Daphnia pulex: one gene and its partners. Each later gene encodes a partner of the first gene's protein in a complex. Links are inferred from orthologs where the notes say so. Each region holds a gene or a part of one and is shown in the gene's direction. Other genes may lie near its edges. The genes, in order: U5 small nuclear ribonucleoprotein 40 kDa protein-like, protein AAR2 homolog, G-patch domain and KOW motifs-containing protein-like, pre-mRNA-splicing factor RBM22-like, pre-mRNA-splicing factor CWC22 homolog, U4/U6.U5 tri-snRNP-associated protein 2-like and smad nuclear interacting protein 1-like.

Region 1 (4,544 bases):
TGGAAAAAATAAAACCGTTCGGGAAAATCGAGCGCAGAGGAATGTCTTGATTTGAACATCAGACGCCATATTTCCTTAAGGGGCTCATGGGAGACCCTCTCGATGGTGCTGATGCTAATGTCATCAACAGAACTCGAGAGACAAACACAAACAACTTAGCTGAAATTTTTTAAAACTACAAGAAAACAAAACTTCCACATCATTAAGTAATCTCTCTCTCTCTCCACAAAACGTTAGTTTAAAAAGAACGACAAAATAAAACAAAACCCAACAAAATGTGTCGTGACAAAATTGTGAGCCTGGAATCAAGGGTGTGGGAGTTTTATGATAGTCCAGATGTGTGAAAAGATCAATAAAAAGTGGTGGCATTCTTACCTTGGCAACCGATGATGCACTGTTGATGTTACTGCTAACCGAATGTGCAGCCAAAAAGGCGATGAAAATCGCCATATGTATTCTGGGATTCATTTTTGAGAGAATTTCCTGAGCGTTTGAGAGTCTGCCTTACGTGTGTGTGAGAGGGTGGAGAGAGAGATTTTTTCAGTATTATTTATTTTAAGAGCCGGATATCCGTTTCTAAAGTTTTCTTCCAAGATTTTTGTGTTATTTCAATACAAAAGTGGAGAACGTGGTCGAATAAATTAGGATAGTTGCAGCCTTTTGTCCGTTTTTCTAATTTTCTAAACACAGACGGTGATGCTCTCAGGTCAGGCTGGGCATTTTCTTTCTTTCTTTCACACTTCTTCTCTCTCACAGGCGCGCACTCAACCACACAGTTCACTGGTGAAGCCAAAACGATGGCCGAGTTTTACTCGTCGATTCGGGGACGGAATGTTAAATATCAACAGAACAAAAAGAGTTGCCGGGAATTGGCGTGATTTCGAGACACTTCTCGATGTAACCAAAGGCCGAAATGGATTAAAAGATCCCAACTCACGCCCAGATCATCAAACACACCAGCCGAGAGCCGCCATTAAACTGAAGGGACTGGATTTTTCTTTGTGTCCCTCCGCCGCCATTGGGTACCAAAAACTCTGCCATCTGGCGGCAGTTTTCAGCTCCTCCCCACTTTCTCCTCCAACAACATAGACGTGGAAATTATACGGACGAATGTAAACCACACACACGGGAAAGAAAAGGAAAAACAAAAATCAATCTCATCATTTCCTCATCATGTTGGGAAAAAATGAATGACTCAATTTAGGTCATGGATTCAGCGCTCAAAATATCTTCATCTCGAGAGACTAGTTTTGTTCTTTCCGACGCACCAAATTTCGTTGGAATGGAAAAGAAATCCCAGACATAGCGACTATCACATATACTGGTGAAGTCGTTTTCTTGCGAGTGTTAAAAAACTAGAAGGTCCTCTGTTCTATAGTCACACGGACACACAAAACTTAAGAAAATATCGAGGGGAGAGATTTAATGTTTGTTGTTTCTCCCTCCTTCTTCTAACACTCCTTTTCTTTTTTTACGATCGTGGGTTCGCCTGTTTTCCGGCCCCAATAATACCCATTGTTTTCCAAGACTGCGCGGGTGTTCATGAAATTCCTCGAGTTACAACTTCTTTTTCCCAAAAAAAGAAAGAGAAAAAGGGTTCGGAAATTCTTGAGCGATATACCACTGTGACAGCTTTTCCCCATCTCAATTTTTATTCTTTTATTATACCAAAGTCTTTCCAAGTTTCCAACAAGATTTGGAAAAGGCGACCACTATAAAATATAGATCTAGCAAGAAAAGGCTTCTGCTCCGTCAGTAGTAGTTGTCAAAACTTTTTCACTTTTTTTTTCTACAACTTGAAAATTTTCTTAAAAGTCTAGAAGCCGGAGCAATGGCGCTTGTGTCAGTAAACAATCCCAGCAATAATGAATTGGTGTCGGCCACCTCGGGTCAAGTGGCCCTGCAACAGGTTTGATTTATTTGTGTTTTATTTATAAACTTTTAAATGAGCCGAATGCATCACAAAAGAGAATTGCATCCAACCACATGCTGACCAGCTTGTGTGTTTTGTTGTTGTAGATGCTATGATGAATTCAAATGTGATATTGACTTTTTCAATAAACAGGGACCAGCAAGAACGTCTAGCCTCATGGCTCCTATAATGCTCCTGGCAGGACATCCTGGAGATATCTTTAGCCTGAAGTTCCATCCTGACGGCCAGTTTTTGGTTTCCACCGGGTTCGACAGACAAATATGTAAGCATCATATATACATTTGAGCATCTCTACTGTTTGGATAATCAACCTCTTGTTCAACAGTTTTGTGGAATGTTTATGGAGAGTGTGAAAACTTTGCTGTGTTGTCTGGTCACACCGGAGCAGTAATGGATCTTCAGCTGTCTACCGATGGTGATACCATTTACACTGCTAGTACAGACAAAACCATTTGTTTGTGGGACACCAGAACAGGAGCTAAAATCAAGAAACTGAAAGGTATACCATTGTCACTGTCCCATTATTTAGCAATTGAACCCAACAACAATTTGTTTCAACAGGCCACTCCTCCTTTGTCAATGCTATTCATCCTGCACGAAGAGGACCTCCTCTTCTCTGCAGCGCCTCAGATGACTGCAACATCAAAGTCTGGGATCCAAGAAAAAGAACCGAGACAGTATCATTAGATAATTCTTACCAAGCGACTTCCGTCACCTTCAACGATACCGCCGAACAAGTCATTTCCGCAGGCATCGACAACGATGTTAAGGTGAGTTCGCAAAATTCAATTGTTGTAATAGAGAGAGAGAGAGAGAGAAGAAAAACTATGGGACCAATTTCCAAGAATTTGAATTAAGCCACCGATTCGGCGAACTTCATATTCCGTGTGAGTGGGAGAAAGTCACAAACTTGAGTATTTTTCTTACAGAATTGATTAAAGTTCTCAGTATTTTTACTTGATGGCTTCAAGAGAATAGTTTGGCAAAAAAGGAAGGACCTGCAGTCATATTCTGTCTTTGTTGTAAAAACTAAAGTTTCGACATTGTTGATTGTTTTCTACTTAATATTGAACCATATTCGTGCAAGTTCTGTCTTACCCTATCATCGAGTTCATTTTCCTTGAAGAGTGCAAGGGATTTCAACTTTGGTATTCTGATTATCGCGTGTCTCACCTTGATAAGGTCACCAAGTCCTTCCTTACTTCCAGGGCCCCTTCTCTTTGATATATGAATGGGTTCACTAATGTAAGCTCGTAGGCGAAGTTTTTAAAATTAATTCAAGTAATTTCAGCAGTAGGGTCTCGTCAAATGTCCTAATTCCATCCTAATTACTGAAGATGCGCATTTTTGTGTTTTGTCAGTTTGAGGCAAATGTGAAACGCTGGAAGCGGATTCTGATACTTCTTTGCTTGTCAGATGGTTGCACATTATCGATCAAAACTTTTCCCCGTAATACTTATGACAATTTTGCGACATCTTTAGGAAGAATTTACTCTGAAAAATAGATAATTTTCACTTTTTATCGATTATCTTTTCGTTCGAACTAAACCCATGTTAAGTTTTCTCCTTTTTTTGGAAGATATTCATTTTAAAACCTGAAAAGTAGTTTTGCATTTGCGATATTTCAACTGGTCCTGGCCTTGAGCTATTCACGTGAATATGGAGAGATAGGTAAATCATACACTTTCCTTTTTAGGTCTGGGACTTGAGAAAAAATGCTCTCCTCTACTCCTTGAAGGGCCATTCCGACACTGTGACCGGCTTGACTCTCAGTCCTGATGGATCTTACGTGTTGTCAAACTCGATGGACAACTCTTTACGTGTCTGGGATGTACGACCTTTCGCTCCTCAAGAACGTTGTATCAAAATGATGGTTGGCCATGCTCACAACTTTGAAAAGGTATATACAATGCCGGCGAATTTCTCAATCCATTCTAATACCTTGTGTAATGTTATAGAATTTACTTCGCTGCTCATGGTCACCTGACGGAACCAAAGTTTCAGCGGGATCTGCCGACCGATTCGTTTACATTTGGGACACTACATCTCGCCGCATCATTTACAAATTACCTGGTCACAACGGAAGTGTCAATGACGTTGTATTTCATCCTAAGGAACCTATTGGTAATTTACGCAGCAAATCAACATCAAGGACATCAATTAATTTCAGATTTTTTATTTTGAATGAAACATAGTTGCATCCGGTGCCAGTGACAAGCTGATTTACCTAGGCGAAATTGACGCTTAATTAGGAAAGGTTATAATTTTTTTCAGTTGAAACGATGGCAAGGATCGAGGACGAATAAACAAATAATTCTTTTACGCATATTTACAAAATTGCATTTAAATTAATCGACATTTAAAGGCCAAAAAAAACTTAATTGGATTGTTTGCTCGTTCTCGAGTCCATTTAGAGATCATCACGTTAAGAAAATGCAATTATGAATGGAAAAACTAGGAAGAAAAGGTTAGCTAGGTACGAATAATGTTAACGGCACGTGAGAAAAATCAATGGATGAAGTGCCATCCTCTGATCAAGTGATGACTTGCGAGAAGGTGTTTCAAAAGTGTCTGAGTGCTATTGTTCTGTCACGTCTTCGCAGTGACAAAG
Region 2 (3,603 bases), on another chromosome or scaffold:
CCAAAACACAAGATTATACATGCATAGAACACATAACACTTGACAATCTTGATAGAGCAAACACTAAAGTAATAAAAATAATCACCTTTCAGAATATCAAGACAAATTCGGCCAAGTTTATCAATATTAGGGTGATAAATCTTTGTCATGAATCGCACTTTAGGTGCAGACATTGGGTACTCTTCAGGCAAAAATAGTTCCAATTTGAAAACACCACCTTCAAATGGAGAACCTTCTGGACCTATGAATTTTAATCAATATGAACTAGTCAGTACCAGAATGACACTTTAAGGTTGCAATTTAAGTTTACAGACCTGCAACCACAACATGGAAATAACGAGCATTTTGTTCATCTGGAACTGCACTAATGCCTGGGACAGGCTCAGCCATCAAACGTTGAGTTTCCTATTGATCAAATTAATGACGAATATACTATATTGCTAGAGAATACTACCGGTCCCATAATAGGATCGGGAGAAAAAAACACGTTGCCTCCCACTTTGATGCAAGTCTACAATTAAGATTTGTGTTACCTTGATTATCCTTCTAGGTAAGCCTGCCATTTCGCATCAATTTGTTGAACAAACAACGAGTATAAAATAAGATTTTCGTATAATAGATGGTAACTTTAAAGCCAAATAGAGAAGACGGAAAGTTTTCACGCTATACGAGTGCCCTATTGCTAATTTAAGACGTTGTCAAATTGTTTGGTGACGAAAATCGGTAGGAGATCGACCCGGCCACACGGGAAGAATTAGACATATAAACATATTATTTTTCAAATTAAGACGATTTATTTAAAATGAACAAAGTTTATTTGAATTGGTTTACAAACGGAAATACACGAGAAAGCTAAACAAAAGGTATTGCTTTTCAAATGCCGGAAATGAGTTTAAACCTTTATTTCAGAACCGTAGAAAATGACCAGTAAAAATTTTTTGGTTAGATTAATTGGCTGTTCTGTTTGCGGAATATTTTAATTATTTTCATGAATCATCTAGAAAGAATTTCGACTTGAAAGTTGAAATAAATTGAAAAAGGGCAAATTAACTAATAAGGCATGATTAAGATTGAATGGCAGGCTTCAACACATAAAATTTTTTATTTTATCACTTTCTTCTCCTATCCTTCTTCATGTTAATTTTATTCCCTTTTTTTATGCAAAATTGCTAGAATTTAACTCGGCAAGTCGGCATCCGGTACTGATCTGACGTCTGACCTCCATGTTGTTTGTTTTTAAACTGTCGTCTGCTAGTATTGTTCGTTCATTGCTTTTGCGTGGTTTCATTCACTCAGCTTCATTCTGTTTTAAAATATAAACCATCAAGTGTCAAACACGGAAAGAATGGATCAAAAATTGGCTAACAAATTATTTGAAGAGGGCGCGTTTTTATTTCTTCTTGGCGTACCAATTGGGACTGAAGTAGGAATAGATTTCAACAGTTGGAGAACCGGCGAAAAATTCAAAGGCATAAAAATGATACCCCCTGGAATTCACTATATTTATTACAGGCAAATAAGTTATTTTTTGTTAGAACAGTTGTGTGAGTGTAACATTCACTGTGAGGTACAAAATGTGATTGTATATTTTTATATAATTTCTAGCTCTGTAAGCAAGGAAGGTTCCGTAGCGCCAAGAACAGGTTTCTTTTACAACTTCAATAAGAAGGAAGTTGTGGTCCGTAAGTGGAACCCAGAAATAGAAGATGTCATCAACGATTGTAATTTTATTTTATAAATCATTATTTAATATTAATTTATTATTTAGTGTTTATCCATAATAGGTACTGATGAAGAAAGAGAAAGTTTAAAAGCCAATTTAAAAAATCTTGATCAGCACTTGGGTCCATATCCATTTGATACCTGGAAGAAATGGATGTCTCTCAGCAGTAAATTGACAAGTATATTTTCTTATACATTATGTAATCTGTACAAAAATAAAATGTCTAACAATTAATATTTAGCTGATGTAGTTGGGAAAGTGGAACCCCTTCAGCAAAAGATTTCATCAGTTACAGAATTAATTTCATCAGAAGATGTACCAGCACCAGCAGAATCTCCAGTGAAAGAAAAAAGAATAAAGAGGTCAAATTATGAAGATGAATTACTACCGCACATGCAACCAAAGCCAGGCACAGCGTTAAATTTTACCAAAGTCCCTGTTGATTTCTATCCAGTAGGATCAAGTGCCATGGAAATCACTAAACATAGCATTGACACATCTTATTTACTGGAACAAATGCTGTCAACTTGGGAAAGGTCGGCATTTTTTTAATATTTATTTTTCGGAACGTAAAAAATACCAAATAGTTTGCTGTATTTAATAATAAATTATTTTCTTGTTTAGACCCAATCAAATGCTTGCTGAACTTCAAATGGCGTTTTTGTGTTTTTTGATAGGACAAGTTTACAGTGCTTTTGAACACTGGAAGAACGTGATTCGTATTTTTTGTTTTGCTGATGAGATTCTGTTGAAAAATCCATCATTAATTGTGGAGTTCATTGGGGATATCTATTTTCAGGTGATGACATTAGAAAACACAATTTTCAACTAAAATTATTAATTAAAATATATTGTTTTTTAGATGCAAGAAGTATCTCCAGATTTTTTTGTTGACATAATCTCATCAGAAAACTTCCTCATTCAAACTTTAAGAGTTTTGTTTGGAAATATTTTGGAAAATGATGCTGTTGACAGACAGCTTAAAAGAAGAGCCTCACAGTTGAAGCAATTTGTAACACAGAGGTTTCAATGGGATTTTGATGTTGAACCAAATGATGAAGCACCAGTACTAGTTGAGTTGGATGAAAGTATGTAATAATATTAAGAGAAAATTGATACTTCAACCACTTCAACCATGATATACTGTACACAAATTTCCTCAATTCCTCAATACATGTGTAATGTGTTTACAAGCTGAAAACCAGTAGTAATAATAACTAAATATATGAAAAACTACTAAAGAGATGGGCAGTAACTACCACATGGTAGATTGCTTGTTCAGTTGCTTTTCTTTCCAACAATTAGTGGGCCAACATTATCACCAGTCTCTGTATTATGCTTGTTGTGTGAACCATCACAGTAGGGAAACTAGGAAAGGATAAAAGTTATATAAGATAAATTAATTTGATCCATAATAAGTTCCTTACCGAAGCACTACGCCAGCATCGGCAGAATACTTTCTTGTCCCCTATGTCTTCTAAGTCAAAAGTGTCAACTACTTTTGAATCACCCTTTTTAATACTCTGATTAACCACACTGCCCTGTATAAAGAATTGTATAAGAAATTAAACTTCAGATTATTATCTTCTAAAGTCAAAATATATTGAGAATCCATACCTTTTTATCACACTTCTTTTTACAAAATCCAGTGCCTGTTACTTTGGCATAGATGAAAAGTGATATACCAACAGCAGCAACCCCAAGAGATGCTGAGCATACCAAATCTCGAACTGAAATTTAAATACAAAAGATAAGATAAATAAAAATCTCATTTTATGTACAAATTTTTATGTAAGTCTTAAACACTAAACATTCTTACTTCCTAAAGGACTACTAAAGATATTTGAGATGTAATCCATTATATAAATAAAAGATAGACT
Region 3 (4,287 bases), on another chromosome or scaffold:
GTTCCTCGGTTTGGCGGACGACAGTCGATGACCTTGACCGTAAAAGACCTCTTTTTTTCACCGTTTTAAATCGAAGGGGGGTTAACAAACGTCAATGACCCTTTTAATTGAGAAAAGAAAGGGTAAATCGACGCCCTTCTTCTTTTTTTACTACCTGTTGTATACGGGGACTTTTTTTAACGCTTGGAGGTAACTTTTAAAACATTTAAATTGCCGGCCTTCTGAATTTGGTAAAAGATTTGAAATGTCGTCGTCGTAATGGAAAATTACAGACTAGAAAGATCGTCTCTTGGGGTTATTCTACTACTAATACAACCTCGAATGGTTGTCCTTTTATAGGGCCAGTGGCTACATGGAGACCTTGAACGAAATGAAATCAATCTTTTTTTAAAAATAAACTACTATTTGGGAAAACAGCCAATCTATTCCAAGTTAAGCAACAAATTGTCGAGTAACCTTAACCCTATTTTTCCTAGAAATGGGAGCAAGACACTTGGTACAAATAAATTTCAGGTCAGGATAAATGTGTTTTGTAATAACATACGGTTGGAATTATGTCACAGCACTGTGTTAGTAGTACCATAGAGGAAGGAGTGAATGACGAAATCAAACCCAACACTCTATGGCAGTACGTAGTTGTTTTGGAATGAACAAATATCGTCGATGCTCGTAAATGCGTAAATATTTTTGTTCTAGAGTTTTATTTTGTCGTCTGCTTGACTCGTCCGATGCAGACATCTAGCGAGTGTCTGGTAGATTACACCGAAGGTTACGATTGGTCAATTTCGGAACCAGCCTACAAAAAAATCAAGGCCCCGGTCGTTCGATTTTATTAAATAAATATACTTGATTGTGTCACATGATTATGTCACTTCAATGGTCTACGTGCATCAGTATCAATATATAGTGACCTCAATTCTTTGATGAAGCCTTACAACTTTGTCAATATGATGCGAGCATCTCCATTGCGTGACGCTACAGGCAGTTACAAAATGAGCCCATGATATCATCTTCTCATCTTCGTGCTCCATTTCCTTTTAATTACGTACTCGGTTACATTTTAATCAAAGTCAAGTAGGCACTAGAGGCAACCGCGGCTGTGGCCTGGCGGCATCAGCGTCAGGCAGGATGAAATCAAATCAGTTGCAGTTGCCTAGTAACATAATTGAATTTTTCCTTCAGACAATTTAATTAAAACGACGAAACATCGCCTTCGCCTAGCGAATTAATTAGATATTTTAATTACACGAAAATTATGCAGAAGCTACGCGTAGTTATAATACCACCGCAGAATGCACGGCAGTTGTCTGATTTGATTTTTCAATGTTCGTCTGCTTGCGTCTCCCCACCTTTTTTGTTGTTTCCATAAAGACATCTTCTGAGCGAAAAGGAAATCCTTGATATTAACGTATTCGTGTGTCATTATGTCGGAAACCAAGCCTGGTGTGTCTTTTGCCTTTAGTTCAAAAAAGAAACATGATAACGTGAAATTAACTCAGTCGAAACTATTGGATACGACTCAAGAAACTCGCGAAGAGACTGATTTCGTCAAAACTGTCGAGCACAACAAAATCAATGGGTATGTTGCTTTTCCCGCCACAAAATATTAATTTTACATTCATTTTCTGCATTATTCTATTTAGATCCATCAAAAAAGCACCCAAAAAGGAACTGGTTATTCCTCTTATAACAAAGAATCGGTGGAGGACCCCTGGCAGTGATACCAAAACCGAGAACACAGAAGCATCAGACTTGGACAAGCAAGCCGAAAAAGAAATCCTGCAAGAAACACTGAAGGCTGTTGATGGCTGGGAGAACAGAGGCAATGGCGTACCCTCCAACATTGATATCCCCCTATTTATGCAAAATCGTGTTCCATCTGGCTTTGAAACAGATGAAAAAGTAGATGTTTCCCTCCGTGCAGATCAGGTACTGAATTTCGCAACTGCACCTTAATTATGTAATTAACTCTTGACATTTCTCTCTAGTCCACACTTGATGATTATGAAGCGATCCCAGTGGAAGCCTATGGAATGGCCATGTTGAGAGGAATGGGTTGGAAAGCCTCAGAGGGTATCGGTCTCTCTAGAAAAGGGTATCATTGCCATATTTCACATTAATTAATGGTTCTGAATTCTCATCAAATTATCTTTTATTCAATCAAGAGTGGCTGCTCCCATGGAGGTGAAACTTAGGCCTAAAGGACTTGGTCTTGGGGCTGACCGTACTGTTTTAGAAAATGCAGCTAAAGCTTTAACAAAGCCAAAAGAAGGCGAAGAAGAGCTCAAAGTGATTATCGGTGCAAATGTACAGTTGCTCAGCGGGAAACATCAAGGTTTATATGGACAAGTAAGTAAAAATTCTATTAAAATCTGCCATTAAATTATAACTAAATTTGTTTCATCAGGTTCTTAGCATGGACGCAAACACTGGTCGTGCTCTGGTGCGGATGGCTGTCGGAAGCAACGAATTGGAAATGAGCGAGCTCTTTCTGAAACCAGTTTCTGCTAAAGAATATCGTGATTCCGCCAGGATTCTGAGTAAATTAAATCTATTTCAAGCCAAATTTCTTCTTGAAATTAATCATCTTTCTTTTAATTCTCAGACAAGGAAAAATACGACGAGTACAAAACGAAACAGGACAAGGAGCGAAACGAGAAGGAAAGAAATGATCGCGAGAGCAGAAAGAAACGGAAGCATAGTCCTAGCCATCGTAAGTAGTGATAGATTGTCCTGTCTAGCTCCTCCTACCCAAGGTCACGCTTTCCTACATTTATCATTGGCGTTCTCGTGCCAGCCGCCCAGCCCGTACCGTCAGAATTTCCCGTTGTTAATTAATCAGTTTGTAATGAAATTCCACTATAATAATTTTTTCCTTTTATTTTAAAAAAGGTAGTCGTCGGAGTGGCAGTCGGGAGCGCCGTGATGAGAAGAAAGAATCTCGTTCTAAAAATCGGTCGTCGAAAGGTTCTGACGAGAAACGAGAACCTTGGCTTCACCCACTCTTGCGAGTCCGCTGCGTCGATTCTTCATTCAAGGACGGCCAATTCTACAAACAGAAAGTAAATAAAAATGTCCTAAAAATAAAAGATGAATTTCTCTCACGCCGATTGGTATGAATTCCAGATGGTTGTGGTGGACGTGATTTCCAAGAATCATTGCATTTGCAAAGCCGAAAACGGGAAACTTTTGGAAAACGTCAACATTTCTAAATTGGAAACTGTCATTCCGCGTAGCGATCCCGCTTACGTCATGGTCGTCAAGGGCAAACGAAAAGGACAGGTTGTTAGCTGAAATTTACACACATGTTGTTTTTGTTAACTTGTTTATTTTTTAATAAAAAGGTCTGCCAAGTGATTGAAAGGGACAAGGAACGATACACGGCCACCGTCCAGATTCTACCGGATCGCGATGAAGTTTTCCAACTAGACTACGACGACATTTGCGAATACACGGGAGATGTGCGCAACTTGTAATCACAAAATAACTCGACTTGGTTTTTAAATAAAAACAAATGTGCTATTCGTGTTTAATTTCATAACGATTTTCACCCTTTTTGTCTTCATTGTTGCACCTCTCACATAATTTGCTACGTGACCCAGACAGCTGTGGCAATCTCTCATTATGCAAATGTTTGCCGAAAGCTCTCTCTCTTATCATTTTAATGATACGTTACGCTAATGCAAATTTTTCAAGTGGAAAAAGAGATGAGAAAGTACAAGGCGCGCCAGTCAGTCTGGCAAGAACTTTGTGTGTTTTCAATGGGATTTATTAAAGTATACACCGGCATCGTAAAAATACACGAGCTATAGGGGGAATACGGTAATGGTACACACCTTTCACGTGCGTGTTCCCCTTTATTTTTGCATCGATATTTTTCGGTACAGAGTACACTGAACCCACACAGCGTAGCTCAATCAATTCACGAGAAAAGCGTATAGGCTACCACCCTACGGGGGACAGTGGGGGGGCTTTTTTTCGCTCGGTCATTTCTCATGACTCCCGCCGAAGTCCGAACGAACGAACGAACGATGAAGGTCTGCTGTGTGCAGACTACGTAACAGCTCAGTAACAGGGCCGCTCTTCAGTTGTTTCCTTACTCTCGCAGCTGATTGGTCGTTGCCTTGTTACTGCGAGACTTATCACGCCATACAACAACAAAAAAACATATAACGCTAAGCTACATATACCCCTTTCGCTTGTCGTCGTGCTCGTGGTCACTGTGTCAATTCTCTATACATGTTATTCCCATTTAATAATATTTTCAACTCGAGGTTTTGATCGGGG
Region 4 (4,352 bases), on another chromosome or scaffold:
CAAATGATCTTGAGATAAACGGCCGATGCAATAACGACGCGGTATTGAGAATAGGGGATGGCGCAAAAAAATAAAAAAAATAATAAAACATACTATAAATAAGAGAAAAAAAAAATATCTCCCAATCATACTATAGCTGGGAAAAATTTACTTTTCGAGTTATTCACGTTGAAAGTTTCGACTACGTGGCCCACCTCTAAAACGCAGGAGGTGGCCTATTTATCACGTGATTCTTGGTGCATTACCGCTGGTCAGTTTTAACCAATGAGAATAGATCACGTGATCGGGGGAACCAATAGAAGCGGGGAACATCTGTCATTTCGTCTGTGTCCGCAAGGTGTCGCGTCAAGCTTGTAGCAATCTAGTTTTTTTACCGCCATGTGGTAAAAGAATGAAAAGTTGTTTTCAGGGATACGCATTCTATTGGCTGTTGCCGGTCACGTGATCTGCTCCCATTGTAAAAACTGACCAGAGCTAAGCTAAAACTGGCAGAGCCAGGGAGTCGAAACTTTAAACGTGAATAACTCGTAAAGTAAATTTTTCCCAGCTATAGTTTGATTGGGAGATATTTTTTATTTATTTTTTCTCTTATTTTTAATATGTTTTATTATTTTTTTAATTTTTTGCGCCATCCCCTATTCAGACAGCATGGAGCCGGAGGAAACCGTTTACTTTCTAAAATTCTAAAAAATGAAGTAAGTTAACAGTTCATTATAAATTAAAATGTTCTCTTACCTTGCATGTAGCTATATGAGTTGGGGGCTGGCAATAACATATGTTCTTTTCTCTTGAAAGACCATAACCTTTCGGCATCCGATAATGGCTTATGCGGTGGCTACTCAAGCTGAAGATTGACGTAAAGGTCTGAAATTACAAAAAAAATTATAATTGAAATATGTAAGAGTGGATGATTAAATAGTTACCTTCCCACAATAATCACATGCGAGAATGGGTGAGTTGGGACAAACTTCAACGCTGGAACTAGGAATTTGACCCAATACTCCCTCAGCCTGATTGTCCTGAAATTTAAAACATGAACATGAATTAGAAAATCATACCCCAGGTAAAAGCATTGTGGATTGCAGATTGCAGGACTTCTTTCCCCTCGATCAACAATGCTATTCACCTAGGGAAGATTGCTGTTGGCAGCTGAGGGTTGGTGGGTGGCTCGACTTCCATGATTTAGAAGGAACTGTGTATATAAATCAAAGTTTACCAAACTTACCTCTAGCGTAGTCTTCTTCAGTTTTTTTACACACATAGACAGGTTCTTTAGTCGCCTGTTAAGCTTCAGGCTGGCCATGGTAGTTCCAATTTTCTTCAACTTCTGGATTTCTTTTGCTAAAGGTAAGTTTGAATGAGGTTAAGAATGAGTTATTACTTTAAAAAATAATGTTACTTACCATCTTTGTTTAGTTTATCCACCCTTTTCTCTATCTCGCCTAAATCCTGGGTAAAATTTGATTCCAGTATTTGGATTGGTATTGGTATTGGTAGGATTAGGTGCGTCTGCTATGTTTAGCAGACATCTGGTCTTCAACTAGATGACCTTCTTGCACCGACGAGATATTTTTTCTATTGATTTTTTTGAGCGATGGCGTGAGCAGTGTAAGTGTTGTATTGTATTGTGTGGAAGGAGCCCCAAGAAGGGGGATGGAAGTACCATCATTGTGTACGATTTGGCGCTAGTGCCTGCCTTTTTAGGAAGAGATCTGTATTGTATGTGTAGTGGTAGTGCCCGGGTATGGGAGCAACTATGCTCACCGGGAGAGTCGAACTCAGGTCTCAAGGTGCTCCCCGATCACCAAGCGACGCCTTATCCAGCTCACCTACCCGCCCCCCCCCCCCCCCAGTATTTGGATATCCATGTCAATTCAGAGTTCAGACGTCAAAAACAAACACTTAAGGAAAAAGGATTGTTTATCGATATTTAACTTTAAATCGATATCCATTGTTTATTTATAATATTTAATTACTTTATGTTATGGAAATTTTTTACAATTCTATTTAAATTATTACACACATTTATTAATTTAAATAAAAATTGTCATAAATTTCCATAAAATGAAGTAAGTAAACAATATATATCGATCCAAGTTAGTATCGATACCGAGACAGACCGATTTTAAAGTTATCGTGTGGTCCTTTGGGGCATCAGATTTTACGTTTCAAAATGGCGCTGTCGAAATCATCAAACACTTATGGACGTACAAGTTGGGAAGATTCGGTAATATTATACTATTTTGATAGTTTAAAATTGAGACTGATACTAACCAGTGAATTAATTTAATATAATTTAGGAGTTTCCAATTCTCTGCCCAACATGTCTAGGAGACAACCCTTACGTTCGAATGGTGAATGAAACTTAACTTAAAAATGCATACGTTAACTATGTTTTTCGTAATTCTTATTCGTAATTCGGTTCCCCTAATTTTTTTTAGATGAAGGAAAAATTTGGCAGTGAATGTAAGATTTGTGTCAGACCTTTCACAACCTTCAGATGGTGCCCTGGTGCCCGTATGCGCTTCAAGAAAACAGAAATTTGTCAGACTTGTGCAAAACTTAAAAATGTCTGCCAGACTTGCTTATTAGATCTTGAATATGGACTTCCCATTCAAGTCAGAGACCAAGCACTTAACATTAAAGACAATATTGCAAAATCTGATGTGAACAAAGAATATTTTATTCAAAATGCTGAGAAACAAGTAAGTTGAATGCTGCTTTGAAATGAATTTTTTACATTCATGCATTTTTATTGTTGACAGCTTTCTGCAACAGATCATGGTGTACCTGGAGCTGCTGGTGGTCCAGGAAAATCTCATCCTCCATCAGATCTTCTGATGAAATTGGCACGCACAGCACCATATTATCGTAGGAACTTGCCACACATTTGTTCTTTCTGGGTGAAAGGTGAATGCAAAAGAGGAGAAGAATGTCCTTACCGTCATGAAAAACCCACTGATCCAGATGATCCATTGGCTGATCAGAACATTAAAGATCGTTATTATGGCACCAATGATCCAGTGGCAGAAAAGCTCATGCGTCGGGCTGCCACTCTTCCTCGTTTGGATGCTCCTGAAGATAAGTCCATTACCACTTTGTATGTGGGTAACATTGGAGAGAAGATGTTGGAAAAAGAACTACGAGATCATTTTTATCAGTACGGTGAAATTCGATCCATCACTATCGTTTCACGACAGCAATGTGCTTTTGTAACATACGTCACCCGCTCAGCTGCAGAATTGGCTGCCGAAGGAACCTTTAACAAACTAATTATTCAGGTACGGACCTTTTACTTTCTGGTTTCAATTCCCCAAAACTTATTCAAATTATTTGAAAATTTAGAATCGGCGGCTTGTTATTCGTTGGGGTAAATCTCAAGGCAAACAGAATGTTCCTGGAACAACAAATACTGAAGCTGGAGCTCGTTTTGAACCTGTTCCGGGTCTTCCCCGAGCTTTGCCACATCCTGAAGAATTGGAGCATAACTTTTTCAATTTAGCTCCTACAAGCAATGCATACCCATCTCCTTATCCTCAATATCCACCATCCACATATCCATTGATCGCTCCACCACCACCAAACCCCACACCAAATCAGGCGGAACTTCCAGTATTTCTTGCCGAAAGTCAGCAGGGCATCCATTACCCTTCTCAGGATCCGACTCGTCTTGGCGCGATTAATAAGACACGACAAACATAACGACAGAAATTTTCAGAATTACGATATGCTTGTCTGTAATTTTTGTATTTCCGTTTTTGAAATTTAAACTCTCACGATAAAATGTCCTGTAATTTATTTTATTTAATATCTATAAGTTTTTTTGCATATAAGGTTTTGCGCTATAAATTGGCTGTTTTTGATGTGAAGTGCTGAATGATTTTTTCAGCCGACGATACACAACCATCGAAGTTCGAATGAGTAAATCCATCCCCACCAACTAGCAGAAGAGGTTCCTGGGAGATCTCAAGTACACCCGGCTGATCTTCATACGGTTTCGTTACCTTAAAAGCAAATAAAATAAAAAGGTAAAATTTGCAAGCACACAGAAATGAAAAAGGGTTAGTGAGAACCTGGGAGTATCTCCATTTATGGCATTTAAATGCCTTTGGTGAAGGTAGATCGGGGAAAGATCGTTTTAAAGCCTTAATCAAAATGTAAAATTCAAAATATAATCTCGGACATTTTAAAACAAAATGTTATAATGCATAATTTACCTCTTTTAGAATAGGTTCCGCTTCTGGGACGGTTAGATCAATATGTTGTACACCGAAGGGGACAGATGTGTGAAGAATCACAGATGTTGGGACGTCAGCTGGATTAACAATATGAGTTGGTAACGTTCGATTCAT
Region 5 (4,383 bases), on another chromosome or scaffold:
ATAACCCACCTTCTTCTATTAGTTTTGTCGCAGCTGCTAAGCATTTATGCAAACTTTCATCCTTTTTATAAGGAATAGACCATTGATCTGTAAATACTCTAGACTCTAATTCATACAGGTGGGTTTCAGGGAAGCCATCATTTCCACTCTAAGAGATAAAAATGTAAGTGTTGAAAAATGCTTTACATTGACATAATAGATGAAATAGGCTTTACTTCAGACACGGAAGCATCTTCGCTGGATCCTTTGGAAACACCAGCTACCTCTTTCATGTCAACATCGATGTTTAAGTCAGCAACAGGTCCATAAGATGACACTGACTGATCATTGGTGAGGATAGCAACTGCTTCATTTAGATCATTCTTGGCTAAACGTAAAGCTCGTTTGATTTCTCCGATGTCCGGAAATCCCATGGCCATTAACGTGCTGATATTTTCGTCTTCGACGTCCATGACGTCTTCTCTCCGGCGTTTTAAAATTTTTATTGTTTATCTGAAGAGGAAACAAATACAAAATTAGAACATATCACGATGCACGATGAGTGTATCCCAAGCACTCTGCGCATTTTTTTTTTTGTTTTTTTGTTATCTTACTACGATCACAAGAGGCACGAACTCCTTCGCGGAGCTTTTTGAAATTCTTCTATACACATAGGATAAACTGCATGGAGGAGTGGCAAACAAATGTTAGCGGTAGGCAGGCCCCTTGTCAAATGCGCCCTCCCTATTAAACCGTGGGCGCTGACATCTTTGACATGTTGCCAGCTCATTCATTCCTCTAAACAGTGGTTTCAGACGGATTCGACTTTTAGAAAAAATGCTTAATGATTTTTTACCACATAATTTCAATTGAAAGTATGAAATCTCTTTAACAAATCTTCGTGGCTGCCTGTTTTTATTGTTTCATAGCGGTTAGTAATACCTATTTTAAAACTAGGAACTCGCAGGACTAGCGAAAACATGCGAAAATATTTCAAAAATTGAAATAATTATTCTTTTAACGATCCTTTATAACTCTGATTTCACCAGTAACTATTTTAAAAATTCTACACGAAATACGAAGACCTGAGAAGGCTCAGCGCTTAACGCTGCCACAAAGCTGATAAACAATTTAAACAAGTTATCGAAAAAGTCCAAAAAGTATTTGATGGTTGCTCGCTGCTCGGGGCAGAATATTTATTCAATTATTCCTTTTCCAATAAATTTTAAACAAATTTTCATTAATGAGGAAGTGGTTGATTACAAGAAGATTCTTAATTCTTATTTTTTGTCACGTTTGTCTCTTTGCCTGCCTTTGCGATAAACCCGATAAGGCATAAGGCGACAAGCCGACAACCAATGAAATCGAACAAGCTGCCCAAACGCAGGTGGCGCATTAGTGGTAGAATTGTAAGCAAACGGCAATACCGCAATATGGCAATAGGCATTAAGCCAAGGAAGCAAACGTAAAAAAGCAGTTGTTTCTCAGCGTGTTGCGATTGCAATTTTCTATTCATCCAAACAGTATAACATCTGTTAAGTGATATTTTCAAATTAATTTCCCTTCATCTGTCACAATAATCCTTCAGATGGAAAGTGTCGTCAAAGCTGTTGGTTTACCCGTAAATTTCTTAGAAGAAGTCGACGATGATTTGGAAGATGAACGAGACGAAAAAGCTCCAGCAAAGCCCGATAGCAATATTCGGAAACGACGGTATAGTTCAGAGGAGGAATACAGAAGAGAAAGGTAGACAACTGTACCAAAAGTGTTACAAGTAACAAATTAATTTACTTCATATTCATTTTTTTATCAGGAAAAAAAACTATGAAATAGGCACACGCTATTGGGGAGATGAAGGCCCTAGAGATAACTACACACAACATTCAAGAGAACAAGATCAACATTCAAGAAAAAGAGAAAATCAATTGAAAAAGGATGACAGAAAAACTAGTGAACAAGGTCCTTTAAATGAAGAGGATACTAAAGAGCCTAAGAGAGTTAAAGAAATGGATCCAGTGCTGACACGAACCGGAGGAGCTTACATTCCTCCTGCCAAGTTAAGAATGATGCAAGCCCAAATAACTGACAAGTCAAGCTTAGCTTTTCAGCGTTTATCTTGGGAGGCTCTCAAAAAATCCATTCATGGATTAATCAATAAAGTCAATGTGTCAAATATCCCATTGATTATAACATCCTTGTTCAAAGAAAATATTGTTAGGGGACGTGGTCTTCTAACTAGGTCCATCATTCAGGCACAAGCTGCATCACCAACATTTACACATGTCTATGCAGCCCTTGCTGCATTAATCAATTCCAAAGTATAAACGTGATTTATATTAATTCATGTATTTAATTTAATTCACATCACATTTGTTGATGTTTCAGTTTCCTAACATAGGTGAACTGCTATTATCTCGCCTTATTCTTCAATTTCGCCGTGGGTTTCGTCGAAATGACAAACAAATATGTATGAGTTCGACAAGATTCATAGCACATCTGGTGAACCAACAAGTGGTAATATTGAAATTTTGCTCTCATGTTTTGTTTTTCAAATGCACTGAAAATTTTTCTTGGTATTTTAGGCACATGAGCTTTTGGCTCTAGAAATTTTAACTCTTCTGTTAGAAAATGCAACTGATGATTCAGTTGAAGTCGCGGTTGGATTTTTGAAAGAATGTGGTCAAAAGTTAGGTGAAGTCTCCCCTCGAGGATTAACTGCTGTCTTCGATCGCCTCCGTCATGTTTTACACGAAGCTGACTTAGACAAACGCGTGAAGTACATGATTGAAGTAATGTTTCAAGTACGAAAGGATGGCTTTAAGGACAACCCTGCTATCGTGGAAGATTTGGATTTGGTGGAAGAAGAAGATCAATTCACTCATTTGATGTCGATACAAGAAGAAGAATTGGATCCCCAGGATATGTTGAGTAATAAGTTGCTATTAATGGATTTAAAAAATATCTGTATTCCTCAATCTACCAAGTTAGTTTACTGGGCTTAAATTTTTATTTATTTTTAAAATAATCTTTGACTGTAATGAGCCCCAAGTTCCGTGCTTTTCTTAAACTGTTAATAGTAGATTTTATATGTCTATCTCCACTTTGATACCACTAACTGTTTCGCGTATTTTTGTAGATGTTTTCAAGCACGACCCGGATTATGAAGCCAACGAAGAAAAGTACCAAGCTGTCAAAACAGAAATTATTGGAGATAATTCGGGCGAATCAGACGGTTCTGGAGAAGAAAATGATGAATCTGATGGAGATAGTGCTTCGGAGGAGGAAGCAAAAGGTAAGAATAGCATATACTTTTACTTGGGTCGATTCAATTTGTATGTTTTTAATTTTGTTTTTTTAGAACAAGGCGATATTGTTGACGAGACGGAGACAAACCTTATTGCTCTTCGACGCGTTATTTACCTTACTATTCAGAGCAGTTTAGATCACAATGAATGTGCCCATAAAATGATGAAAATGCAAATGAAACCTGGACAAGAAACTGAGTTATGCCATATGATCTTGGATTGCTGCACCCAACAAAGGACGTATGAAAAATTTTTCGGCCTTTTAGCCCAGGTACGATTTCTTATTAAATAAAAAACTATTCAAGTATATCAATTTTCTTTTCGGTGTATTAGAGATTTTGCCAGATTAATAAGGCATACATACCACCATTCGAGCAAATATTTCATGATACATACGACACAATTCATCGGCTGGATACTAACAAGCTTCGCAATGTAGCCAAAATGTTTGCCCATTTACTTTTCACAGATGCCATCAGTTGGCAAGTGATGGCTAACATTCGACTAACTGAAGAAGATACTACAAGCTCTTCGAGAATATTTCTTAAAATTTTATTTCAAGAAATGGCAGAGTACATGGGTCTCAGCAAGCTAAATCTTCGCCTCAAAGACCCGTCAGTGCACCAACTATTTTTTAAACATCTTGTTTGGTTATACGTCACCAATTTAATTTTTTTAATATTTTCGTTTTAGGACTTTGCAACCGTATTTTGAAGGAGTTTTCCCTCGCGATGATCCTCGCAACACTCGATTTGCCATTAATTTCTTTACTTCCATCGGTCTAGGAGGGTTGACGTAAGTTTTTCTATCTCGTTGATAGATTCTTTAAGATTAATTAATAATTTTGTGTTGCGTTGGATGGGACGTTTCAATTATGTAGAGACGAACTTCGGGAACATCTTCGGACTCACCCTAAGCCGCCGCCAATTACTGTTCCAGCACCAGTGTCCTCATTGTCAGCTGCCGCTGCACAGTTGTTATTGGAAGATTCTGATTCAGATTCAAGTTCATCGTCGTCTTCATCTTCCTCGTCATCATCATCTTCGTCTTCATCATCGTCATCAACATCTTCATCATCGTCCTCAGACGGAAAAACGAA
Region 6 (4,083 bases), on another chromosome or scaffold:
ATACGTAAAGCTAAAATCGCCATCTGGAAGCTGAATACGGTCGTATCCTAGCAGGACTATCTGCTCGCGAACTAAAGCCAAAACCTAAAATATAAAATGTTTTTAAAAAGACAAAATTCAGTAAATCAAAGAACGAAATTGAATTATATTACAAATACCTCGTCCATGTATTCATTGGCATTTCCTGCTTCCCCACTTCGAGCACGATTCATCAAATGTTCAGAGGCCGGAAAGGAAAGACGAAGAAGCGGCTCGCCTTTTCCAGAAACGGGGCGTCGAATTCCAGCACCTACCAAAAGTAATGACAAAATTAAAAATTATGGTCGTTAGAAATTTAGAATCAACCCAATCAAGGAACGAGTAACAAATATGAGCAAACCATTGGAAAGGGTAAAAAGGCAGAGCAAAGCGAAAATGCCAACCACTTTCATGACGAACGAACACAATTTCAGTTTAAAGTTAAAGAAAGAAACCGTGTCCTTTTGAGAAACAGAAAATGCAAACTGCACACGACCAATTTATACAAAAATTATTGGTCTATCAATGATTGGGCAATCGATCACTTCTTGATTAGAAAGTGATATAAATGGGTTTTTCAAAGATTATGATTGTGACATCGAACTTGATTTGACTAATCTGATAATCCGTATTGCGTGCTAAAATCAAAGGGCAAACAAAATTACCCAATGATTATATTTTTGTACACCTTCGAAGGACGAACTTATACAAAAAAAAACATTCTATTGAAAATGAATTACGAAATTCTAATTCACCAATTGCTTAGTTGATTTTTAGAAACCCGGAAATTGCTTGTTTCCGGGTTTATGGTTCAAGTAAGCAATTTGTATCCAGGCAGAAAAAATCTACACTATGCTGAACATCATTATCTGAACCATGAATATCGCTTTCAAAATATAGACTTCTGTTGACATAAGTTAATCAAGGTAAACAGAGTTCTGATAATACATCCAAACAAATTCGAGACAAACTCTAAACTTTGAGATGATTACACAACACCCAAGACCCAACAGCGTTACCAGACACAAAATAAGGGTTTTTTAGTTAGTTATCAGGATAGTAATTCAAACGATAAAAAATAGTAGCCCCATCTTGTACAAATAATTATTTACTTGACGCATGACCATGATAATCAAACGAAATTTTGAATCGCGTTACAAGATTTGAATGAAGTAGTTCACGCCATCTACAGGACAATAATTCTACTTTTTCGTTTACCGGCATTAACGCGTTGCATTCGTTTTATGTGTCTGCTATCCTTTCCGTAACTCTGCATTCGAGTTTCCTTAATTCTTAAACAATAAGAAAAGCTGTCAATTTTGGCTCTTGGGGTAAATATCTTTTCAAAAATGGGGACGGAAAAGAGTGATATAAAGCGCAAACATGAAGATTTCGATGATGAAGACGAACCCGTCGTGAAAACAAGTATTGTTGTCACTATCCACAAAACCAAATAATAAATATAGTGCAATCCGTGTAACAACTTTTACTGATAAAAATTCTAGGAGAACCAATTGCCAAATCTCGTTTGTGTCCTTATTTGGACACAATAAACAGGACAGTTTTGGATTTTGATTTTGAAAAACTCTGTTCAGTCTCGCTCACAAGGATTAATGTCTATGCATGTTTGGTGTGTGGGAAATACTTTCAAGGTAAATTTGAAGTTAAACAGCAATATTCACATATTTTAAATTGTTTCAAATGAATTCTAGGAAGAGGCCCCAGCACACATGCATATCTTCACAGTGTGGGAGAGGGACATCATGTTTTTTTGAACCTTCACACCCTAAGATTCTATTGTCTGCCAGACAACTATGAAATCATTGATTCATCACTCGATGATATCAAATATGTCTTGAATCCAACATTCAAAAAAGCAAATATTGCAGTGTTGGATGTCATTGATAAAGTATCTAGGTCTTGTGATGGTACTCTTTACCGTCCTGGAGTAGTTGGACTCAATAACATCAAAGCTAATGATTACTGCAATGTAGTCCTACAGGTAATGAAGTAGTAAACTATAAATTAAAATAATAAACTTTACTTACTTTTGTATTAGGCTTTATCTCATGTTGTTCCACTACGCGATTACTTTCTCAGGGAAGAGAACTACATTGGTATCAAGCGTCCTCCTGGAGACAATAACGTCATCTTAGTTCAGCGTTTTGGTGAATTGATTCGTAAGCTTTGGAATCCACGCAACTTTAAGGCTCACGTTTCCCCCCACGAGATGCTCCAGGCTGTCGTTCTGTGCAGTAAAAAGAAATTCCAAATTACAAGCCAGGGTAATATTAAATTATGAGAATTGTTATTAAAATTTTACCTTGCTAATTCTTCATTTTCCATATTTCAGGTGATCCAGTGGAATTTCTTTCGTGGTTTTTAAACGCGTTGCATCTGGCATTAAACGGTACCAAGAAGCCAACTTCTTCAATCATCTACAAATCTTTTTTGGGAGCAATGAAAATTCATTCTCAGCGAATCCCACCCATCGATGCCACTGATACAGAAAAGGATGCACTGATGTTGACTGCCGAATACGTCGAAACATTTGTCGATTCGCCTTTCCTTTTTCTGGCAGCCGACTTGCCTCCCCCTCCTCTGTTCAAAGATGAATTTCGCGAAAACATCATTCCACAGGTTTGCCAAAATCAATTAGCTTGTAGCATTAATTAAAAGCTAGATCGAGTCTTTTGTTGATTTTTCAGGTATCTCTGTTTGCATTGCTGTCTCAATTCAATGGAGTCCAGCAAAAGGAATACAAGACCTACAAGGAAAATTTTTTGAAGAGATTCGAATTGACAAAACTGCCACGTTACATTATTCTCAACATCAAGAGATTCACGAAGAACACGTTTTTCATAGAAAAGAATCCCACCATCATAAACTTCCCCATCAGGTAAATAAAATTACCACACCATTTTTTGTTGACTGTTACAAAATTGAGATGTGCTTTTAGGGGTGTGGATTTTGGCGATATTCTAGGTGCAGATGTTCGCGCCAAACACGGATGTACCACATACGATCTGTTAGCCAATATTGTACATGATGGAGAACCAACCAAGGGAACTTATCGTGTTCACATACTTCATAAGGTAAATTCGTTTTATTGTTGACCAATAATCACAATAAACTTCACGAGTCAATTGCTTCTATTAGGCGACAGGAAAATGGTTTGAAATGCAAGATCTGCACGTGACAGAAATTCTTCCGCAGATGATCACTCTCACAGAAGCTTACATTCAGGTAGAAAAAAAAATACAATAAAACGTTATTATGTCCCATTTAAAATGTTCAAACATTTTAGATATGGGAACAATCTACGGAAAGAAGCGACGTTGAAATGTCCAACTGAAATTTCTGTCAAAAGTGTAAAACCCGAGTTGAAATAAATATTCAAATTCGTACTAAAGCATTAATGTGAGACTTCTTATTGGATTGAATAAAATTAACACACCACGTCGCGAGGAAAACGAACCATGTTTGATTACACAAGATGCAATAATACACAACTTATTTCGTTTTTTTTTGTTTCATTTATCTTGCTCCAAACGATGTTGTGTGGCAAAACAGGGAAAAAGGAGTGATTTGTTTAATTAAGAGAGAAGAAGTGGGTTTGAGAATGCAGAGCAAAATAAAGAAATCTTGAAACAAACACGTAAGAGACAACCCCCAAAGAGGACAGAAGGGATGAAAAAATAAAGGGTCGTAGTGAAAAATTAGATTCACACCGCGCAATCAAATTGTCCTTCATGAATTCCGCTCGTTTGCTACTCTTTTTCCCTTACATACACTCGCACAAAGTTTCTTCAAAAATCAGACCAGCATTCGATCGAATTCAAATAGCTTATTTTTTTGCGGTGAGCAGCGGTGGGGTGATTTTTATTTTATGCTACAAAAAATTGGAAAACGGCCAAAAGTTGGAAGGACGAAAAAAAATTAGGAGAAACAATTGGTGGGCCTTTTTTTTTAGCTTTGTCGCGAATAAACGAGGTGTGTGTGCGGGAACAAGAAAAAAGTGATCAGTCGGGGAAAAAGTACAAAGGATCAAAGAAGGAAAAAGGG
Region 7 (3,258 bases), on another chromosome or scaffold:
ATAACTCTTGGTGAAGGCATTTGCTCAACCTTATCAAGTGTAATCAGCATTTTGCTGTGCTCTGGTGGAAGACAGCTACCAATCATGTATGGGAACCTTAAAGAGTCCATATAGTTCATAAACCGAAAACGGAAATGTCTTGTTAAAGCTCTCAATGACATCCCAACAACTGACATACTCTAGAAAGGGTGACCGAACTATTAGTGGTGCCTTAGATCCAATTGGATCACAATTGTTGAGAATCATCCACACTAATTCCTGTGTCCACGTCGTTCCTAAGTAAACAAATTCAAAGTTATCAATTTTATATGTGCGGGAGAATACGAAAAGTTAACACTTTCAAGATCCGAGAGATTTGTATTTGTTTGTTTCAAACTATGTGTTTTAAAATAGGCGGGGAGAAATACAAGGTTGCCATTTGGCTACTAGACTTTCAAGGCTACGGCCAAAAAAATTGATGACAAAGAAATAAATTGTGACGTAATAGCAGTAATTGCTAAACAAATACCACTAGGATATTTATTTTTACGAATTATTATTTTATAAAAATGTAGCTATTACATAAAAAAAATCTTAAAAATGATTGAAAAAGGATTTTACCGCATTTTGGAAAGGTTACTACCCAAACGTCGTCGCTTCTTGGTTGAAAACGTGAAATTTCTTTGGCATGGCGTGCATACTCATCCGTTAAGAGAAAACCACCAGGTTCGCTCTTCATCAGTCCATGCTGCTCGTAGTTTGTGAAGTGTTCTTTCAAGTCTCCATTCACTTCTACAGGATTGAATTTTATGTTCCACTCTGGAACAACTTCGGGAGGAACTGAAGGATTTTCGGGGTTTGTCATCGTGCGAGAGCTCAGACAACAAATGAAAACGCAACGGCAAAAAGGATCGAACAAAGACCGCGACGACTGAATGACACCGTGGCCTCCTTTTTTATACTCAACAGCGACTCAGCGAGTGCCACATCAAATTTTAACGATTTGGTTTTCGTCGTTAAATCAAATGCAAAATTATTAAATCCACGTAAATATGTATTACAATATCAGATATTTGATAATATTTATTTAAATATTTTACAACGACCCAACGAGCAAAAGAAAAATATACTTCTCTAACAACATAATTTTGATTTCGAAAATGTTATGCTGTAATCGATTACAAAAATTCTCAATTTGGCATACATAAGCATTACTCAATTTCTAAAACATTACATAAAAAAATGAGAATATAAATACATTAAAGAGCAGGCAGTGAGGCAGCAGAGAGCAGGTCCGCGGACGGCGGACCGCTAGCGGCTAGCCGTTTACAGGTGGTGGATGAAAGTAAATCTGGCAACGGTTACGAGTTGCGACACCATTTCATGTTGACAAGCCGAGAAACGAGTTGTATCAAACTGAAACTGAAACATTGAATTGATCTCGTTTTTTTGAGAAATACGCCAGAAACATTAAGGTAATTAGAGAGTACTTGTGCATATCTTGTTTTATTTCGTTTGGATCGCCATGGTAAAGCACAACGAAGACGAGAGGAGTCCCAAAAGGTCCCACGAACGAGGCCATGAAAGAGGCAAGACTCACAGACGTCGTGAAGAACGTGACTCTTCCCCACCACGAAAATCTTCACGAAGCGACCATTACCATTCAAGAAGTGATGACTATGAAAGAAGTCGGAAATCAGACAGCAGGAGACATGATTCACAAGTTTCACACAAAGAAAGTAATCGAAGAAATGACCCACCAATTCCAGTTAAAATCAAGAAAGAACCAGTTAGTGATGATGAACAAAGTTTCAGACGTCCACAACACAATGAAGGGCCTTCAAGACGGCATGAGCAACCACATTCAGAAGATCGACCACCAAGACCTTTTAAGCAGAGACGCAAAAGCCCCCGAAGTGAAGATGCTGAAGCAGCCAACTACCAGTATGGCCAACAAGTTAAAGATGAAGAAGAAGAAGGAACACTCGTTGAAAAGCAAAAACCCAACTTTGGTCTATCAGGAAAATTGACTGAAGAGAAGAATGTTTTCAATGGTGTGGTGGTCAAATACAGTGAACCACCTGAAGCCAGAATTCCCAAGCGACGGTGGCGTTTTTACGTCTTTAAAGGGGAAGAGGCATTGCCTACGTTGTACCTTCACCGTCAAAGCGCCTACTTAATCGGAAGAGATCGTAAAGTTGCTGATATTCCAATCGACCATCCCTCTTGCTCGAAACAGCACGCTGCGATCCAATTTCGGTTGGTAAACTACGAACGGCCTGATGGAACTGCAGGACGTACTGTCCGGCCATATATTATTGATCTGGAAGCAGCCAATGGTACTTTTGTAAATAATCAAAAAATTGAATCCAAACGTTACGTCGAATTGTTCGAGAAGGATGTGGTGAAGTTTGGCTTCAGTTCCCGCGAATATGTTCTCCTTCATGAAGAAAGCAAAACAGATGCTAGTTTGGACGATATGGGAGTGGGGCAGTGACACGTTGGTGACCAGCAATGTTTTGTATCATAACAATTTTCTTTTTTGAACGCCGCAATACACTTAATGTTTCTGCGAAAGGTATTCAATCGTCTTTAAGTGTTCTTTCATTTCATTTCCAGGTTTCACACATCAGTGGGGCTGTTCATGTTATTCGTAAGTTGTCACGTTAATTCAAATTTATAACTAAAGCAATTTTTACAACCAGTTGGTAACAGGTAACCAAAATTGCTGGTGTCATGAGACCTGTGGAACGACTGCTGGCCTCCTCAGCAAGACCGCCCAACATTCTAATATGTACGAGTGACAAAGAAGTTTTTCAGCAATATCGAGCCCTCTTTGAATCCACACTAGAGCCGGATTGGTATATAAACAGTATAGACATTTGATATCTGGATTCTTGATCTTAAACAATGTAACATTGATTGACAGTTATGCCCTTTACCATCTCGATGAACTCTCATTTCGTTCTAAAAAAGCTTGGCTAAGCAACACAAGCCTCCTAGTACTTGCTTCTCGATGGTCTGATAATGACTTGCACGATCCGCTGGAAGAGTACATCAAGAAGGGTGGTCAATGTCTTTCCCTACACCCTTTTTCTCCAAAATGGCTGAATGGAACCCAAGTGAATGGCGTTACAAAGTACGTATCTGATCAAGGCTTACTAGTCTCACCAGTCGACAAGCTTGATTTCGCTCAAGTACTTCCACATATTCTAGAACTTCACTTCCACATTAAGACACAAGTCAAAAGTCAACAGGAGGCTCGTATTGAATCACAGC

The links.
Region 2: U5 small nuclear ribonucleoprotein 40 kDa protein-like (region 1) and protein AAR2 homolog share a complex: the UniProt entries of both Homo sapiens proteins name them as parts of the U5 snRNP complex. The link is inferred for Daphnia pulex from reciprocal best matches to the Homo sapiens genes SNRNP40 and AAR2.
Region 3: U5 small nuclear ribonucleoprotein 40 kDa protein-like (region 1) and G-patch domain and KOW motifs-containing protein-like share a complex: the UniProt entries of both Homo sapiens proteins name them as parts of the minor spliceosome. The link is inferred for Daphnia pulex from reciprocal best matches to the Homo sapiens genes SNRNP40 and GPKOW.
Region 4: U5 small nuclear ribonucleoprotein 40 kDa protein-like (region 1) and pre-mRNA-splicing factor RBM22-like share a complex: the UniProt entries of both Homo sapiens proteins name them as parts of the postcatalytic spliceosome P complex. The link is inferred for Daphnia pulex from reciprocal best matches to the Homo sapiens genes SNRNP40 and RBM22.
Region 5: U5 small nuclear ribonucleoprotein 40 kDa protein-like (region 1) and pre-mRNA-splicing factor CWC22 homolog share a complex: the UniProt entries of both Homo sapiens proteins name them as parts of the minor spliceosome. The link is inferred for Daphnia pulex from reciprocal best matches to the Homo sapiens genes SNRNP40 and CWC22.
Region 6: U5 small nuclear ribonucleoprotein 40 kDa protein-like (region 1) and U4/U6.U5 tri-snRNP-associated protein 2-like share a complex: the UniProt entries of both Homo sapiens proteins name them as parts of the U4/U6-U5 tri-snRNP complex. The link is inferred for Daphnia pulex from reciprocal best matches to the Homo sapiens genes SNRNP40 and USP39.
Region 7: U5 small nuclear ribonucleoprotein 40 kDa protein-like (region 1) and smad nuclear interacting protein 1-like share a complex: the UniProt entries of both Homo sapiens proteins name them as parts of the minor spliceosome. The link is inferred for Daphnia pulex from reciprocal best matches to the Homo sapiens genes SNRNP40 and SNIP1.

Annotation. Positions count from the first base shown.
Region 1 is NC_060027.1:3,204,212-3,208,755, reverse strand, and holds U5 small nuclear ribonucleoprotein 40 kDa protein-like, read left to right. Parts: upstream 1-1,488; 5' UTR 1,489-1,831; coding exon 1,832-1,909; intron 1,910-2,065; coding exon 2,066-2,195; intron 2,196-2,258; coding exon 2,259-2,432; intron 2,433-2,494; coding exon 2,495-2,703; intron 2,704-3,629; coding exon 3,630-3,833; intron 3,834-3,891; coding exon 3,892-4,057; intron 4,058-4,128; coding exon 4,129-4,181; 3' UTR 4,182-4,261; downstream 4,262-4,544. Other genes in the region: syndecan-like, read right to left, coding at 376-468. UniProt on the Homo sapiens protein: Required for pre-mRNA splicing as component of the activated spliceosome. Component of the U5 small nuclear ribonucleoprotein (snRNP) complex and the U4/U6-U5 tri-snRNP complex, building blocks of the spliceosome.
Region 2 is NC_060019.1:11,511,573-11,515,175, reverse strand, and holds protein AAR2 homolog, read left to right. Parts: upstream 1-1,223; 5' UTR 1,224-1,345; coding exon 1,346-1,512; intron 1,513-1,605; coding exon 1,606-1,721; intron 1,722-1,784; coding exon 1,785-1,901; intron 1,902-1,964; coding exon 1,965-2,259; intron 2,260-2,347; coding exon 2,348-2,522; intron 2,523-2,585; coding exon 2,586-2,819; 3' UTR 2,820-2,924; downstream 2,925-3,603. Other genes in the region: ubiquitin-conjugating enzyme E2 N, read right to left, coding at 86-241, 315-405, 534-563; CDGSH iron-sulfur domain-containing protein 1-like, read right to left, coding at 3,002-3,091, 3,151-3,264, 3,341-3,453, 3,543-3,582. UniProt on the Homo sapiens protein: Component of the U5 snRNP complex that is required for spliceosome assembly and for pre-mRNA splicing.
Region 3 is NC_060019.1:137,078-141,364, reverse strand, and holds G-patch domain and KOW motifs-containing protein-like, read left to right. Parts: upstream 1-1,327; 5' UTR 1,328-1,424; coding exon 1,425-1,579; intron 1,580-1,643; coding exon 1,644-1,929; intron 1,930-1,988; coding exon 1,989-2,095; intron 2,096-2,165; coding exon 2,166-2,349; intron 2,350-2,407; coding exon 2,408-2,540; intron 2,541-2,605; coding exon 2,606-2,713; intron 2,714-2,892; coding exon 2,893-3,062; intron 3,063-3,126; coding exon 3,127-3,282; intron 3,283-3,344; coding exon 3,345-3,476; 3' UTR 3,477-3,534; downstream 3,535-4,287. UniProt on the Homo sapiens protein: RNA-binding protein involved in pre-mRNA splicing. As a component of the minor spliceosome, involved in the splicing of U12-type introns in pre-mRNAs.
Region 4 is NC_060024.1:7,163,254-7,167,605, forward strand, and holds pre-mRNA-splicing factor RBM22-like, read left to right. Parts: upstream 1-1,303; 5' UTR 1,304-1,347; intron 1,348-1,403; exon of another isoform or gene 1,404-1,423; intron 1,424-2,079; exon of another isoform or gene 2,080-2,097; 5' UTR 2,098-2,173; coding exon 2,174-2,227; intron 2,228-2,300; coding exon 2,301-2,354; intron 2,355-2,441; coding exon 2,442-2,705; intron 2,706-2,765; coding exon 2,766-3,281; intron 3,282-3,345; coding exon 3,346-3,702; 3' UTR 3,703-3,784; downstream 3,785-4,352. Other genes in the region: uncharacterized protein LOC124200920, read right to left, coding at 736-864, 924-1,019, 1,226-1,303; renalase-like, read right to left, coding at 3,843-4,004, 4,074-4,145, 4,218-4,315. UniProt on the Homo sapiens protein: Required for pre-mRNA splicing as component of the activated spliceosome. Involved in the first step of pre-mRNA splicing.
Region 5 is NC_060018.1:7,249,341-7,253,723, forward strand, and holds the start of pre-mRNA-splicing factor CWC22 homolog, read left to right. Parts: upstream 1-1,373; 5' UTR 1,374-1,502; exon of another isoform or gene 1,503-1,567; coding exon 1,568-1,725; intron 1,726-1,792; coding exon 1,793-2,297; intron 2,298-2,364; coding exon 2,365-2,493; intron 2,494-2,561; coding exon 2,562-2,907; intron 2,908-3,115; coding exon 3,116-3,555; intron 3,556-3,617; coding exon 3,618-3,898; intron 3,899-3,977; coding exon 3,978-4,079; intron 4,080-4,164; coding exon 4,165-4,383. Other genes in the region: ubiquitin carboxyl-terminal hydrolase 24-like, read right to left, coding at 10-148, 216-452. UniProt on the Homo sapiens protein: Required for pre-mRNA splicing as component of the spliceosome. As a component of the minor spliceosome, involved in the splicing of U12-type introns in pre-mRNAs. Promotes exon-junction complex (EJC) assembly.
Region 6 is NC_060025.1:1,779,242-1,783,324, forward strand, and holds U4/U6.U5 tri-snRNP-associated protein 2-like, read left to right. Parts: upstream 1-1,236; 5' UTR 1,237-1,367; coding exon 1,368-1,443; intron 1,444-1,523; coding exon 1,524-1,670; intron 1,671-1,730; coding exon 1,731-2,020; intron 2,021-2,077; coding exon 2,078-2,303; intron 2,304-2,371; coding exon 2,372-2,658; intron 2,659-2,726; coding exon 2,727-2,917; intron 2,918-2,977; coding exon 2,978-3,113; intron 3,114-3,177; coding exon 3,178-3,264; intron 3,265-3,325; coding exon 3,326-3,373; 3' UTR 3,374-3,430; downstream 3,431-4,083. Other genes in the region: uncharacterized protein LOC124202306, read right to left, coding at 5-84, 159-289, 380-431.
Region 7 is NC_060018.1:419,450-422,707, reverse strand, and holds smad nuclear interacting protein 1-like, read left to right. Parts: upstream 1-1,448; 5' UTR 1,449-1,504; coding exon 1,505-2,476; 3' UTR 2,477-2,560; downstream 2,561-3,258. Other genes in the region: sulfotransferase 1B1-like, read right to left, coding at 1-96, 179-275, 601-844; biotin--protein ligase-like, read left to right, coding at 2,624-2,632, 2,695-2,840, 2,909-3,258. UniProt on the Homo sapiens protein: Required for pre-mRNA splicing as component of the spliceosome. As a component of the minor spliceosome, involved in the splicing of U12-type introns in pre-mRNAs. Down-regulates NF-kappa-B signaling by competing with RELA for CREBBP/EP300 binding.